3 linked regions of the Lepisosteus oculatus genome follow. The protein of the gene in region 2 interacts with the protein of the main gene of each other region in a biochemical or structural test. Links are inferred from orthologs where the notes say so. Each region holds a gene or a part of one and is shown on either strand. Other genes may lie near its edges.

Region 1 (4,223 bases), on a different chromosome or scaffold from region 2:
TATAACTGCTGGGCTGCATATGTGTAACAATCAATGGTGCTCTATTAACTGATGAATATCACAAGAAGTGAAATGCATATTACAGTATATCAACATGGCATGAATATACCTGACAGTGTATATGGATGCTATTTGTTGTGTTTTCTGGCAAAGGTCAATTTATAGGCTGCTGAAAAGTGTGCTGTCCATGGTGCTGATTTTTCCCATTTTATTAGTTCTAAACGTTTCTCCAGTTACTGTATGTTGGATTATTTAGGGTCATCCTGCTAATATGGTCAATTGCATCGTAGACTATGAGAATAATTTGGAATTAAGGCCATGCATCAATGTCCTGACCAACAGCATGAGCCATCCTTTTCACAACTGAACAATAAATCACATGGTAAAATTAGCTTGGTCAGTCGTATAAACAATATAATTGGAAACAGACAACTGCTCATTTTTGTCCGCAAAAAGGTTATAAACGCCATGGTTTCAGTGGCAGAAACATGTTGAATGGGTGCCAGACCACCACCTGTGGAACGGCCGAAGACTGAACTGCATTCCTTTAATCCCATTCTTAAACCAAAACATCCACCAAACCTCATTTTCTATACCTCTAATTGGCTAAACAATACTTTTCAAGATATTTTCACTTTTCAATCCATGCATGGAAGAACAACCTCCCTAAAATGTGAATAGTTTATGACTTTAAAAGTCCTGATATTCATAAAATCACTAGATTTTGTATCTTTCTAATACACACCATCATAAATTACTGTAAATATCCAGTTTCTGTGGCATGGTGTAAGGTAACACAAATGCTGCTTTCAATGCCAGTGTCTGTAGTGGAAGTATTATCTGTACTATTTAAGGAGAGCATGCTAAACCTGCTGATTATAACACATTTCTCTATTTATAGTTGTTTCCTTTAGGTGCGGAAATTAGCGATTTTAAGGAAATTAAGTATTTCATCTCTGTGCTACAGTATGAGCTGGCCCACTACTTCTGACCTTTCCATTAAAAATAGTTTTATAAGGATTCATGCGTCTAGAGCATCATGTCTGTGTATATGATGAGTACATGTATATTTAAGGATTGACCTACCTAGCTATATTCCTACTGCACACATACAGTAGAAAGAAAAAATAAAAACAAGGTTCATTGTACAGTACCTACTGTATGGTCAATAATGCTGGATGTTCCCTAGTGCTGCTTTAGAAAACTGCAAGTAAAACTATTCTGAAATACGCTGCTATTTTTAATTAAATACTGATAAAGCATGACAGAATTGCAGTAAATTAAAATAATAAGCTTGACCTTTGTCTGTGGGAGAACATAATATAAATAGTAGTGAATTTACTGTCTTGATATATTGTACAGTATGTTGAACTGAGGGTTGCATAACATGATAAAACGTCCGTAGTAGTATTATATAAACTGTATATCTCGGTTTATTTTACATTGTCGTAAACCCCCTAAACCTATCTTTATTTCATACATGTATTTAAATCCATGTCACTCCACCTTTGTCATCGTCGAGAGTAACATACAGTACACGGTGAGACACCACTACAGCCGCCTTGGTGATTCTACAAACCCATATTTGTACAGCAGCGCTGTCTTGTACTATGCAATGTTGTTTTTTTTATGGTGTAGGATGCACTAGTGGCAACGTGTGTTTAGCACAGCCGGTCTGCATTGCGTCTAACCCCCCTCCCACCCCCCTCCCAACACACAATTTCACGCACTCTATCCCTCGCTCACACACCACTCTCTTTCCCCAGTACTTTATAGTCCTGTATACTGTATGTTAAGTAATGCGGTAGACTGTCTTTATAAATGCCTTTTTATTTTTTTTATTTTTGCTCTCAATCCGTTCCCTTTTAAAGTCCCGCTTTCGTTCACCTTCTGAAACTGTACTGAGATATCGGTGTACAGTACCTTGGGACGTTCGTTATCTTATCTGCACCAAACAGGAAAAGCTCTCCAATTTCTGCTGATGCTGCAACGTCAAGAAATGGCAAAAGAGTTCGCTTATTGCCCTTAATGTATTCAGCCTTCCCAATCGCACCATCATCACTTCTCTCGCTGTATAGGACATTATGCTAAAATGGTGCAGCTGGGCTGAGGTCAATAGATCCAGTGGATTTCATGTTTGGTTTTGTCTCTGCTCTCTCGTCTGTCTCTCGGGCTTTTATATTGCCTTAATGTAAGATGCAACACTTCGATACTTTTACCGGTGAGGTGGCTCGGTTGTTCTGATTAAACTTAGGAAATAATGACGTTAAAATGCCGTAGACATGTACTAAGACAATATAGTCTATTAATATTTCAGTAAAGCTCCTAGATAGCGCAGTGTAAAGCGATAGCCATATTAAAACAAAGCAGGGAGTGCAAAGTTCTAGCTTTGGCTTTCGGTGTCCACGGAGTCGACGCATTCCTGCACAGTGTCTTACAAGATTAACCGGAGGTAAGGTGAATTAAGGATGATGACAAAATAATAATAATAATATTAATATTAATAATAATAAACGCACAAAAAGAGACCTTACTTCTGTACTACCCTGAAGTCCCTAACGATGATGCAGCTGTTTGGCTAAAATGAGATGTTAGCATATGCGGGATTTAGTTTGAGGAGTGTGGGTGGGCTGTAGATCTGAAACTTGTGCAGAGCTCTATGCAGTAAAAATATGCACGGCTCGTTCCAGTGAACTGTATGGGATTTTGGACGTCTTTCAAAGAAGAAGAAATAAATGTTTTTTTTTCTCCGATTTTTTGTATTCCGCAGCATCCTGTACAGTTTGCGCTTTGGCCACCTTAGGTCTACAGCATAAAGAAAAAAAAAACAGGCAGCCGAAACTGCTGATCTGGCAAAGATCTCTTCTGTTCGATCCATTTTTTCTCCTACTGGGTGACAGTAACAGCAGCAGCAGGAGGAGCAGCAGCACAGAGAAGCAATGGTCGAGTCAGCGCGGATAGCTGGGGAACCGCACTGAAGCGAAGCAAAGCTATCCCCTAAAAAGGGGAACCCGCAAACAAAAGAGCAAGTCGAAGACGACACATATAATAAAAACTGGGAGCCTGCTGACGCGGGCTGAACAGAAGACGTATCTCCTGCAGTATTAAAAGATTCGACAGCCAGGATGACAGTTGTGGCAGGAGATAACATGGATGAGACGTCTGCCTTGCCCGGGCACCCACAAGACAGCTACCCACCAGACCACGATGATCACGAATGCTGTGAGCGAGTGGTTATCAATATAGCCGGGCTGCGCTTCGAGACTCAACTAAAAACACTTGCCCAGTTCCCCAACACCTTACTGGGTAACCCCAAGAAAAGGATGCGGTACTTCGATCCCCTAAGAAATGAATATTTCTTTGACAGAAACCGTCCTAGTTTTGACGCCATCCTGTACTATTACCAATCGGGAGGCCGGTTAAGAAGACCGGTTAACGTACCTTTGGATATGTTTTCTGAAGAGATAAAGTTTTATGAGCTCGGGGAGGAGGCAATGGAAAAATTTCGCGAGGATGAGGGTTTCATCAGGGAGGAAGAACGCCCTTTGCCCGAGAAGGAATTTCAACGCCAAATCTGGCTTTTATTTGAGCACCCGGAGAGTTCTGGACCAGCGAGGGGGATTGCTATCGTATCTGTAATGGTGATTCTGATATCAATTGTTATATTTTGTTTGGAGACTCTACCTGAACTAAAAGACGACCCTGCAGGGAGGATACAAACTATAGGGAACAGTACCTTCTACTACAAACCAAATATCTTCACTGACCCTTTCTTCATTGTGGAGACTCTCTGCATTATCTGGTTCTCTTTTGAATTGGTAGTTCGGTTTTTTGCTTGTCCCAGCAAGGCGGACTTCTTTAAGAACATAATGAACTTCATTGATATAGTGGCCATTATCCCGTATTTTATCACGCTTGGCACTGAGATGGCAGAAGAGCAAGACGGGAAAGAGCAGAAGGGAGAGCAGGCGACGTCTCTAGCAATTCTCAGGGTGATCCGTCTGGTCAGAGTTTTCAGAATCTTTAAACTCTCCAGACACTCCAAGGGACTTCAAATCTTGGGACAGACTCTCAAAGCCAGTATGCGGGAACTGGGACTGTTGATATTTTTCCTTTTCATCGGTGTCATCTTGTTCTCCAGTGCAGTATATTTTGCAGAAGCAGAAGAGAAGGATTCCTACTTCTCCAGCATCCCGGACGCTTTCTGGTGGGCTGTGGTGTCT
Region 2 (4,223 bases):
CAGGAGTCCGAGGTCGACCCACCAGCCGACTCTCACACACAGTCACTTCATAGAACTCCTGGATATCTGGGGAGAGAGAACCAGAGAGAGGGGAGTGAGCGAGAGAAGGCAGGGAGATTGGGAGAGTGTGAGGGGCAGGAAGAGAGACAGAGGGAGCCACCGAGGAACAGAGACCCCCGCCGCACTGCTGTCGAATCCACCCCAGGTTTTGCAGAGCGGGCAGTCTGTCAGTCAGGGATCAGCCAGCCTGCCTGACCTGCTGGCTGTCTGAGTACTGTATGTCTGTGATTCATCCCACAGCCCAAGCGCCCCATCCACACAGTGGGTGCAGAGCAGAAAACAGCAGCTCTCAGCCTCATTCCTCCCGTCTCTCTCTCGGCCTGCCTGCCGTGCCTCCGTGACAAGCTTCCTGGATGATCTGCTCTTAATCGGGCAGTGCTGCAAGAGCCTCTCAGCTCTAATCCCTCCGCCTCAGCTAAACCAGCAGATTACATCCCCACTAAATATAGACAGATAGGCAGAGGGAGAGAGAGAGGCTGGGAGAGACGGAGTGTGAGATCTGAAAGAGGGGGGTGGAAAGCGAGAGAGGGGCGACAGGGGAAGACACAGAGGTAGAGGGGACCCCCCTCCTGTACAGTTTTACAGACCCCAGACAGTTAAGGCCCCTGTGTCTCATCCTCGCCCCCTGTGTTCATACTGTTCCTCTGGTCAGGCTGCAGGGGGCAGAGTGGAGTTGCACCTAGGGCTGTACAACGAAGAGGCCCCGTGTCTGTGCTCCCGAGGAGGCCCACGTCCAGAAGGTTTCCAAAATCTCTTAGAAACAGCCCAGCCTGGGGGCTCCTGATGGGGCTCAGCCAGTGAAGGCGCTCGATCAGGGAGCAGGCTGAGCCCCTACAGTCCAGACAGTGCTGGTTCTGCTCTGGGCCCTCATTCGCCCCACTGTGACTGGTGTTCCCCCAAAAGTGGGTACAGTTGGCTTGGGGCCTTCAGGGTTGGGTGGCCTTAAACAGGCCTGGGCGTCCTTTCGGCCGTGCAACAGCGCCAGCCTGCGTCTTTCTGGGCACCTGTCCGCTTGCATCAGCCTGGGCTGTTGATTCGTAGGGCAGGGGGGCCAACTGGACAGTTACCTGGGGCACAACAGGTGCTGGACAGGATATCCACAGCTTGCCCACAGAAGCTCCATCAGGGAGACGGGGGCACAGCTCTGTGGGGGGTGGGAGGAGGAGGAGGTGGGGTTCGAAACGGGAACCTCCCATCGAAACACAGCCTGTAGCCTAACCCAACCTGCAGCCTCACCCAGCAGGGCCTGGAAGAGGTCGCTCTGGAAGATGTTCAGGAGCTTCTCGGCCCGAGCCCGGAACCCCTCGTCGCCGGTCTCCGACTGACACTCCTCCATCAAGCGCAGGGCTTTCTCCGTGTCTGGGCCGGGAGGACAGAGACGGACAGGCAGGCGGTTATAGAAGTGAGAGCTACTGGGAGAGAGGTGGACACCTGGGGAGGACATCGCTGCGTGCTGTAAGAGAGCCGTTCGCCCCTCTCTGGGCAGGCAAGGACTGCCTTCTTACAGTACACATAAATAACAGTGTCTCGGGGTCTTCTTTGTCCACCTGAAACCAGTTATCAATCTACTTTGAAACGGTTAAAAAGATCAGGACTTCCACTCTCTACTCCACTACCGTCTGTTAAAGTGAAACAGTTTAGTTGAACGGGTCATTTCTTCTTTTTTTTTAAATATGGCCCACCCTGCCATGAAAATAATAATTGGGACAGTTTCTGAATTTCTCTTCCTTCTGGTGACTTTTATTCTGTCTGGTAAACCACTGCCTGTTAAGCCTGTTTGGCAGATAGTAGCTAGCTGGTCCCAGGATCGCATCACCCAGCCACTTCTTGAACTAGCTCAACAACACTTGTTCAACACTCCCACCCTCTTGGGTAAAGATGTATCTCCCCCACCAATTCTCAATTTCAAATGCAATTCTTGGAAAGAAGGCGGTGTTATCAGCCTCAGTGTGCTTGGGCAGCTAATCCCACACTCCCACCACTCTTTGTGTAAAGAAGTGCCTCCTGTTTGCAGTTTTAAATGCTGTACTTTGAAAGAAGCCAGGTTATCGGCTTCAACTTGTCTGGACTGCTTGTTCCATGCCCCCACAACCCTTTCTGTAAAGAAGTGCTGCCTGTTCGCGGTTTTAAATGTCATTCCTCGAAAGGCAGTGACGGGTTTCAGCGGACAGCCGGCGGACAGGTGACTCCGGGCTCCGGCCGCTCTCCTTCACACGACTTCTGTCGGTTAAACACTCAAAAACACACCTCCACACAAAAGTCTCCTGTCTCGTCACGGAAAGTTCTGGGTCTGTGTCCCACGGAGCCGTGGGGCCCTGAAGCGCCGACTCGCAGACGGCGCGCGCTCTAGACACGCACGCAGACCCGGGTTTCTCGCTCGAGAAGGGCGTTTGGGCGGGAACTCTGGGTACCGAACCCCCTACCCGACCTGTAACGGAGACGAACCGGGACTGAGGCCGAGACCGGCTCCGACACTCACCCTGTTTCCTCAGCGGCATTCTCCCTCTCTCTTACTCCCTCCCTCTCGACTTTCTCCTGTCCCTTAATCCCCCCGTCCCTCCGGAGCAACTGCTTCTAACCCTCTTTAGAAATCCCACGGGGGACTTCTGGGAAATGCAGTTCTGGCTCCTGCTCTCGACCACGATATTGTTTTATTAAGACCGTATTTAGTCGAAAGGAATACTTGCGTTAAAGGATACTACTTAAGCTATAAAATAACCTCATGATTAAACTTTTTGCATGCCGTATTACAGAATGAAAGCATGCTATACAAGACCAGATTTACGGTGCCGCTTAATACTGACGTGGACGAGAGTGGTGCTGTAGTTCACTTGGGTAATATTCTCCGGACCGTGTGTTTATAAACGACTGCATAAATAAATGTATTTATTGAAAACAGTGTGTCCCAATACAAATAATAATTATAGCTTTCGATTTAACCCTTTAAAACGGCTCTTAAACAAATATTTTAAGTTTCCAAAACATAATGTTGAGTTTAACTGCTTGAAACACCACTTGAAATAAAACTGGTTTTATTTTGTTTTGGTGCTTTCACTGGGCTGGCGCTGAGTGATGAAAGCAGGGGGAAACCGCACTCTTTGCTGGGGCCCGACAGACTGTTTTGTTAAACAGGGATATGATGTCATCCACGCGTCATAACTACAAGCTGTGACGTAGATGACGACTAGGGGGGGGTGCCCGCTTTTCCCCGGAGGCTTTAAAAAGGGCACAGTGCCGCCTTCCGGACAGACCGCAGACATGGCCAAGAGGCATAGACGAGCGTCCCGTCCAGTGCGCAGGAGGAGGCGAGTCAGGAGGTCCAGTGTGAAGCGCCAGAGGAGGAGGAGGAGGAGGACCAGGAAGCACCATTGAAACAGCTGGAGCACTTCTGGCAGGAGCTGCCAGCTCAGCTGCACTGCCCCCTGCTGGCCGCTGGACTGGCTGCCCTCAATAAAACTGCGCTATAGAACTGAAACATTGCCTTGACTGAATTATTGACTTGACTATGCTGTAAGATAGCGTCATGTATGTCCATGGCGACTTGCCGTAGTTAGTTTTGAAGCTGAGCTGAGATGTGCGTGTCCGTTGTTCGGAAAAATAAAAGAAGCTGTTTACATTTAATCGTTTACATTACGATTACAGCGCAACATGACAGACAGAATTAAAAACACAGCTGTTGAGGTAAGAAAAAGGTTTATTATTCCTGCTCTTAAAGACTTGTGTCCCGTCCAGGGTATACCCCGCCTTGCGCCCATTGCTTCCCGGGATAGGCTCCGGCTCCCCCACGATCCTGAATTGGAAAACGCATGGATGATCTTAAAGGGACATAGTCCCTTTAGTTGTGAACAGAAAAAAAAATACAAGTGGTCAAAGGCCTTCTAAGTCCTGGATTTGATAGTTGGACCTGAAGTCGTCCGCTGGATCTACCAGTGAACACAAGTGTGAACAGTTCATTCAGGACTGAGGACAGGAGGCAGCGGTTTACACAAAGAGTGGGGGGTGTCTGGATCAAGTTGCCAGGCTGTGTTAAAAACATTCTCTGGGGTGTTTCAGGCTGGGCGATGAGTCCTGGCAGTCTGGCTGGAATGGCTGGGACGCAGCTCCTCGTGTGTAGCCTGTCTGAGGGCTGTGAGGGAGCCTAGCCCTTCAGCAGCTGGGGCTGG
Region 3 (4,223 bases), on a different chromosome or scaffold from region 2:
TTGACAGCTGGCGGCGGCGGCTCGTGGGGCTGCTGCTGCTGGGAGGAGGAGGAGGAGGGGCGCGAGGCGGCGCCGCCGCCACTGCTGCCGGCCTGGGAGGAGGAGGCGGTGCGAGACGGATGCGGCTGCTGGTTGTGGTGGTTGTTGTTGTGGTGAAGGTGGTGGTGGTGGTGGCTCACGGATCCCCCTCCTCCCCCTCCTCCTCCTCCTCCTCCTCCCGAGGCGGCTTCAGCAGCGGCGGCGGCGGCGGCGGCGGCCGCGGCGGCGCGCGTGTGCGCCTGCCTCTCCCTCTCGCGCTCCCGCTCGCGCTCCCGGGCGCGCGCCTGGGCGTATCCGTACGGCAGGTGGCTGTTGCACCCGCCGCTTTCCGCGCTCACCATGGCAACCTCCATGTTGGCGGGGCGAGCGGCGTGCCGGTGTTTTTATTTTTTGAGGGGGTTGAGTCCGGGGGGGAGGTGTGTGTGTGTGTGTCCCGGTTTCAGTTTTCTCCGAGGTCAGAACACAAGAACAACAACAAAAACAAGGGCCCGCAGCTTTGACCTGAAGTGAAAGTGGCGGTAGAGGGAGGGGGCGGCTCAGTACATTGTCAGACCCTCGCACCTGTTCGTCCGCGCCTCCAGCACGACTCGGGCCCTAGTTCCTCTTGCCTGACATGTCCGTTGTTGGAGACCACGGGTGCCGGCCAAGCAACATCCTAGTCCCGAACTCCTTCCGCGAAACTGGGGGGAAGGGTGCGGGTCGGGTCGGGCCCCAGGGGTCCGCTCGGGAGACGGTGCGTTAGGAAAGGAGGGGTGAATGACTATTATTGTTTTTCTTATCTCTTCAGTCGCGCCATCCTCACCTCGCACGGTGGAAACACTTTTGCAGTGCCCACGACGGAGGGGTCACAAAACGATCTGCCCGCCCCCCGCCCTAAGCTGTGGCTGTTTGCACCTGTCCGGCGGTGTGTCCGGCGCCGAGGATGGCGAAGATGCTCCCAGACGACAGATTCCGCCGGCTTCCCATCTCGGGAGGACTGTCGCTTTTCCACTTGTCACGCTCGTCACAAACTCTCCTGATATCCAGATGTGCGCAATTAAAGCCGCCTTTTGACCCCCGCCCCCCCCACCCTTGATCTTTGTGTTGTTGTTGGTGGTGGTGGTGGTGGTCTTGATTTTTTTTTCTCTGGGGGGGGGGTGGGTGGGAGGTTATGTTATTTCTGCAGACGTGAAGCGCAATGCAATCAGCCGTCCGTCCTCCTCGCACGTCTTCGACTTGATGATGATGATTACAACGGCTGAGGAAACACCAACAAAAAAAAGCGAAACGAGAAAATCTTGATTCATCCGATCGTCGTGTTCCTCCACGACCTTAGAGAGCCAACGCACACAGTTCCTAAATCCTAAACCTGCCTGCACCTTAAAGGCAGGTGAATCTATACCCGTTTTTCCCCTCCCTCGGGCACTATATTATCATTTCGCTTGCACTACCTTAAACAAAACAGCCCCTGCAACAGGAGTCTCACTGCGTGATGGATGCTTGCAATACAGTCTAGCCCAGTTCAGTCTTTCTCTAAATACAGGTAGACGAAAACCCTACGTGCACATAATACAACACAATCCCCCTCTGTCCCCAAACACCCCAGTACGATTCAGACCTGTACTTACGTTTTGAAAATTAAATCAGGCGCAGATCCTATTCCTCTCTCTCCGCCCGATGTGATCTTCAATAGTTGGGATAGTTGTTTTTTTTTTTTATGATGCCCTGATATTCAGGTCCTCACATCCCTCTTTCCTCCAGCCAGGAAACGGAATATGGAAGAGAAATGAGCTGGAGACGAATTCACCTTCCCAGCTGCAGGTTTGGCGCGCCCGGGAGATCACGGTGCTTTTTTTTCCCCGGCAGTTTGACGCGTCTCCCCACAGTAGGCAGCGCACGGCAAGTGATGTTAAAGTCAGCAGTCAAAATGAAAACAGTGTCTGAGCCCCCCCTCTCCTCTCCTCCCGTATGCTCACGGTGTTGCAAAAAAAAGGGGAAAAGATAACACAATAGATCCCTGCGTAACGCGTGTCGGGAGACGGCTGTGACTGTAGCGAGGTGTGAGCAGCCGTAGTTCGCTCAGCGCGCTGTGGAAATCGCAGCTGTTCCCGTGGCCGTGCAACAGTATCAATCACTACTTTGTCAACACCTCTCAATGACAAAAAATACACATTTCCTCCCGGCTTCGCCTTACCCGGCAACACACACACACACACGGTGTATATATATATACACACACACATATACAGGTGTTAAGAATTTAAAAGCTAGACGTTCAGCCTGTGCGGATCCGCACATCTCTATATCTAAAAAAAACCACAAAACAAAACGGGCGACGACGATAATTAAAGTTCATCGGTCGCGTCGATTAAAATAACATTAGCCGCCTGTGACACGCGCCTACCCCCCCCCCTCCCCAAGTCATTCGGCGGCCCCTGTCGCCCCCGTCGCGTGCGCGCGTGCCGCGCAGAGGAGCAGCGGGTCCCGCCGCGCGGGGTGCCTCTCCCTCGCGCAGCCCGGGCTGCGATCCTCCCTCAGCGGCCGGAGCGAGGCACTGCAGCCGCCGCGCGCTCGGGAACTTTTTCTCTTACCGGCCGCGCGACGGTCGTGCGGACTGGACACACGGCAGCTCGGGGAGCAGATTGAATACATTCGTGTCGGAACCTGTTACTGCTGGTTTATTTATGCACCGAACTCTGGTGTGTGCTTAAACGTGTTTATGATGATAATATCCCCCATGAAGTAATCTAGTCATGTGACGTTTTGCGCCTATAGTCTACTGTATATTCCCGGTTAGTACCGACAGAAACTGTTTTGTTTAGATTCCAGTGCTAACTTATAGCTAATGACCAATTCAACGTTTCGTTTGCATATGAGTGTAGCATGAAGCGTGTATAGGAACCGAGTGATATCGAAGTTGGAAAAACAACACGGTGGCAAAGAAATACTATTCCTGGCGGAGAAGCCGAACTCCTGTATCCCAGGCGTCTCGAAGGAGCATCTTCGGCGCCCTTGGGTGACGCGTTGGAGTATGTCCGTGTGGTACTGTACATATAAGCGTGCCTCATCAGGGGGCTATAGTTGGATCCTTGTGATATTTATATGAACACGAACAGCAGGAACGCCGACTGTGTCCGTGGCGAGTATTTGGGCTGCGTGTACCGCTTTAAAGCAGAGCCCCAGCGTGCAGCGGTGTTTGTGCAAACAGCGCCCGCATGAACGCGGAGTTAAACTTGTGGCTGAGTCACTGAACTGAGCGGCACCAGCGCGCTGTACTCGCTGTAGTACATGCGCAGTGGTGACCTCTGGGCTCTGTAGAACAAGCAGTGTCTCTTGACGTGCAATAACGCCGCCGAGCCGCAGGTGAATTCTAATACAGCAGACGCTTTAAAACTAACGGCTTTGCTGAAGCGGTACTGTAACTTACAGTGTAAGCAATTACATTCGTGTTATGCATATAGTTTGAGCCCGCTCCAGCCCGCCCTGGACTATAAGGAGATAGCTCTGCGGTCGTATTGTCCCATTTAAAGCCACGCCTTTCTGTCGTGTAATCATCATTTTTGAGATGTCTCGGTGTTCACCAGCTGTCACTGGTGATATCGCTTATGCAGGCGACTGCACCTGCAAAATATGTTGATTGCTCATTTAGTCTATAGCTATGTTGATTAGCTATGGACTGATTCTACTCAGGCAAGCGAAGACCCCGCCATCACGTGTCAACAAGAAATGTACTCTTGCAGTAACTCCATCGTGCCACAAGAGGTCGCCCTACTCACACCAACCGTCCTCTTTTTTTTTAACTCATCCACAGGCGACAATCCAGTATCAATTAAACCTCCCTAATGCCATCAGGCAAACAAGCAAAAGAGCTCCTCTCATTTTATTAAAGGTCATTTGTTGAATATGTGCCCTCCTTTTTAATTACATGTAGTTACGCATTCTGTTAAGTAGCTGGGTGGTATGCCTTATTAAATTTTAATGAGAGTTGTTATTTACTTTTGTCTCTCCGGATGAATTTGCATTGAGAAAAAGCCATCAATGGTTTGTGCAAAGAGCTCTGAAACACTAATGCGCATGATCACTGCACTGTGAATGCATCGCTCTGGGCGAGAAAAATAGTAACAGAATAGGAACGGGATGTGAAAGCTGCCAGTTCCTGTTAACTTCTTGTTTAGCGATTTCGATCTTGCCTTACTTTTTCAACA

What was found. The genes of interacting proteins can lie anywhere in the genome.
Region 1: the proteins of disks large homolog 4-like (region 2) and kcna1b form a complex in vitro, tested with the Homo sapiens proteins (3 studies listed by BioGRID and IntAct, with this or other methods). The link is inferred for Lepisosteus oculatus from reciprocal best matches to the Homo sapiens genes DLG4 and KCNA1.
Region 3: the proteins of disks large homolog 4-like (region 2) and kcna4 form a complex in vitro, tested with the Homo sapiens proteins (8 studies listed by BioGRID and IntAct, with this or other methods). The link is inferred for Lepisosteus oculatus from reciprocal best matches to the Homo sapiens genes DLG4 and KCNA4.

What each region holds. Positions count from the first base shown.
Region 1 is NC_090702.1:25,875,286-25,879,508, reverse strand, and holds the start of kcna1b (potassium voltage-gated channel subfamily A member 1), read left to right. Parts: upstream 1-1,776; 5' UTR 1,777-2,452; intron 2,453-2,770; 5' UTR 2,771-3,125; coding exon 3,126-4,223. UniProt on the Homo sapiens protein: Voltage-gated potassium channel that mediates transmembrane potassium transport in excitable membranes, primarily in the brain and the central nervous system, but also in the kidney.
Region 2 is NC_090698.1:10,878,911-10,883,133, forward strand, and holds the start of disks large homolog 4-like, read right to left. Parts: upstream 2,822-4,223; 5' UTR 2,559-2,821; coding exon 2,540-2,558; exon of another isoform or gene 2,308-2,539; intron 1,420-2,307; coding exon 1,297-1,419; intron 67-1,296; coding exon 1-66. UniProt on the Homo sapiens protein: Postsynaptic scaffolding protein that plays a critical role in synaptogenesis and synaptic plasticity by providing a platform for the postsynaptic clustering of crucial synaptic proteins.
Region 3 is NC_090716.1:3,645,836-3,650,058, forward strand, and holds the start of kcna4 (potassium voltage-gated channel subfamily A member 2), read right to left. Parts: upstream 2,782-4,223; 5' UTR 1,647-2,781; intron 1,625-1,646; exon of another isoform or gene 1,277-1,624; 5' UTR 393-1,276; coding exon 1-392. UniProt on the Homo sapiens protein: Voltage-gated potassium channel that mediates transmembrane potassium transport in excitable membranes. Forms tetrameric potassium-selective channels through which potassium ions pass in accordance with their electrochemical gradient.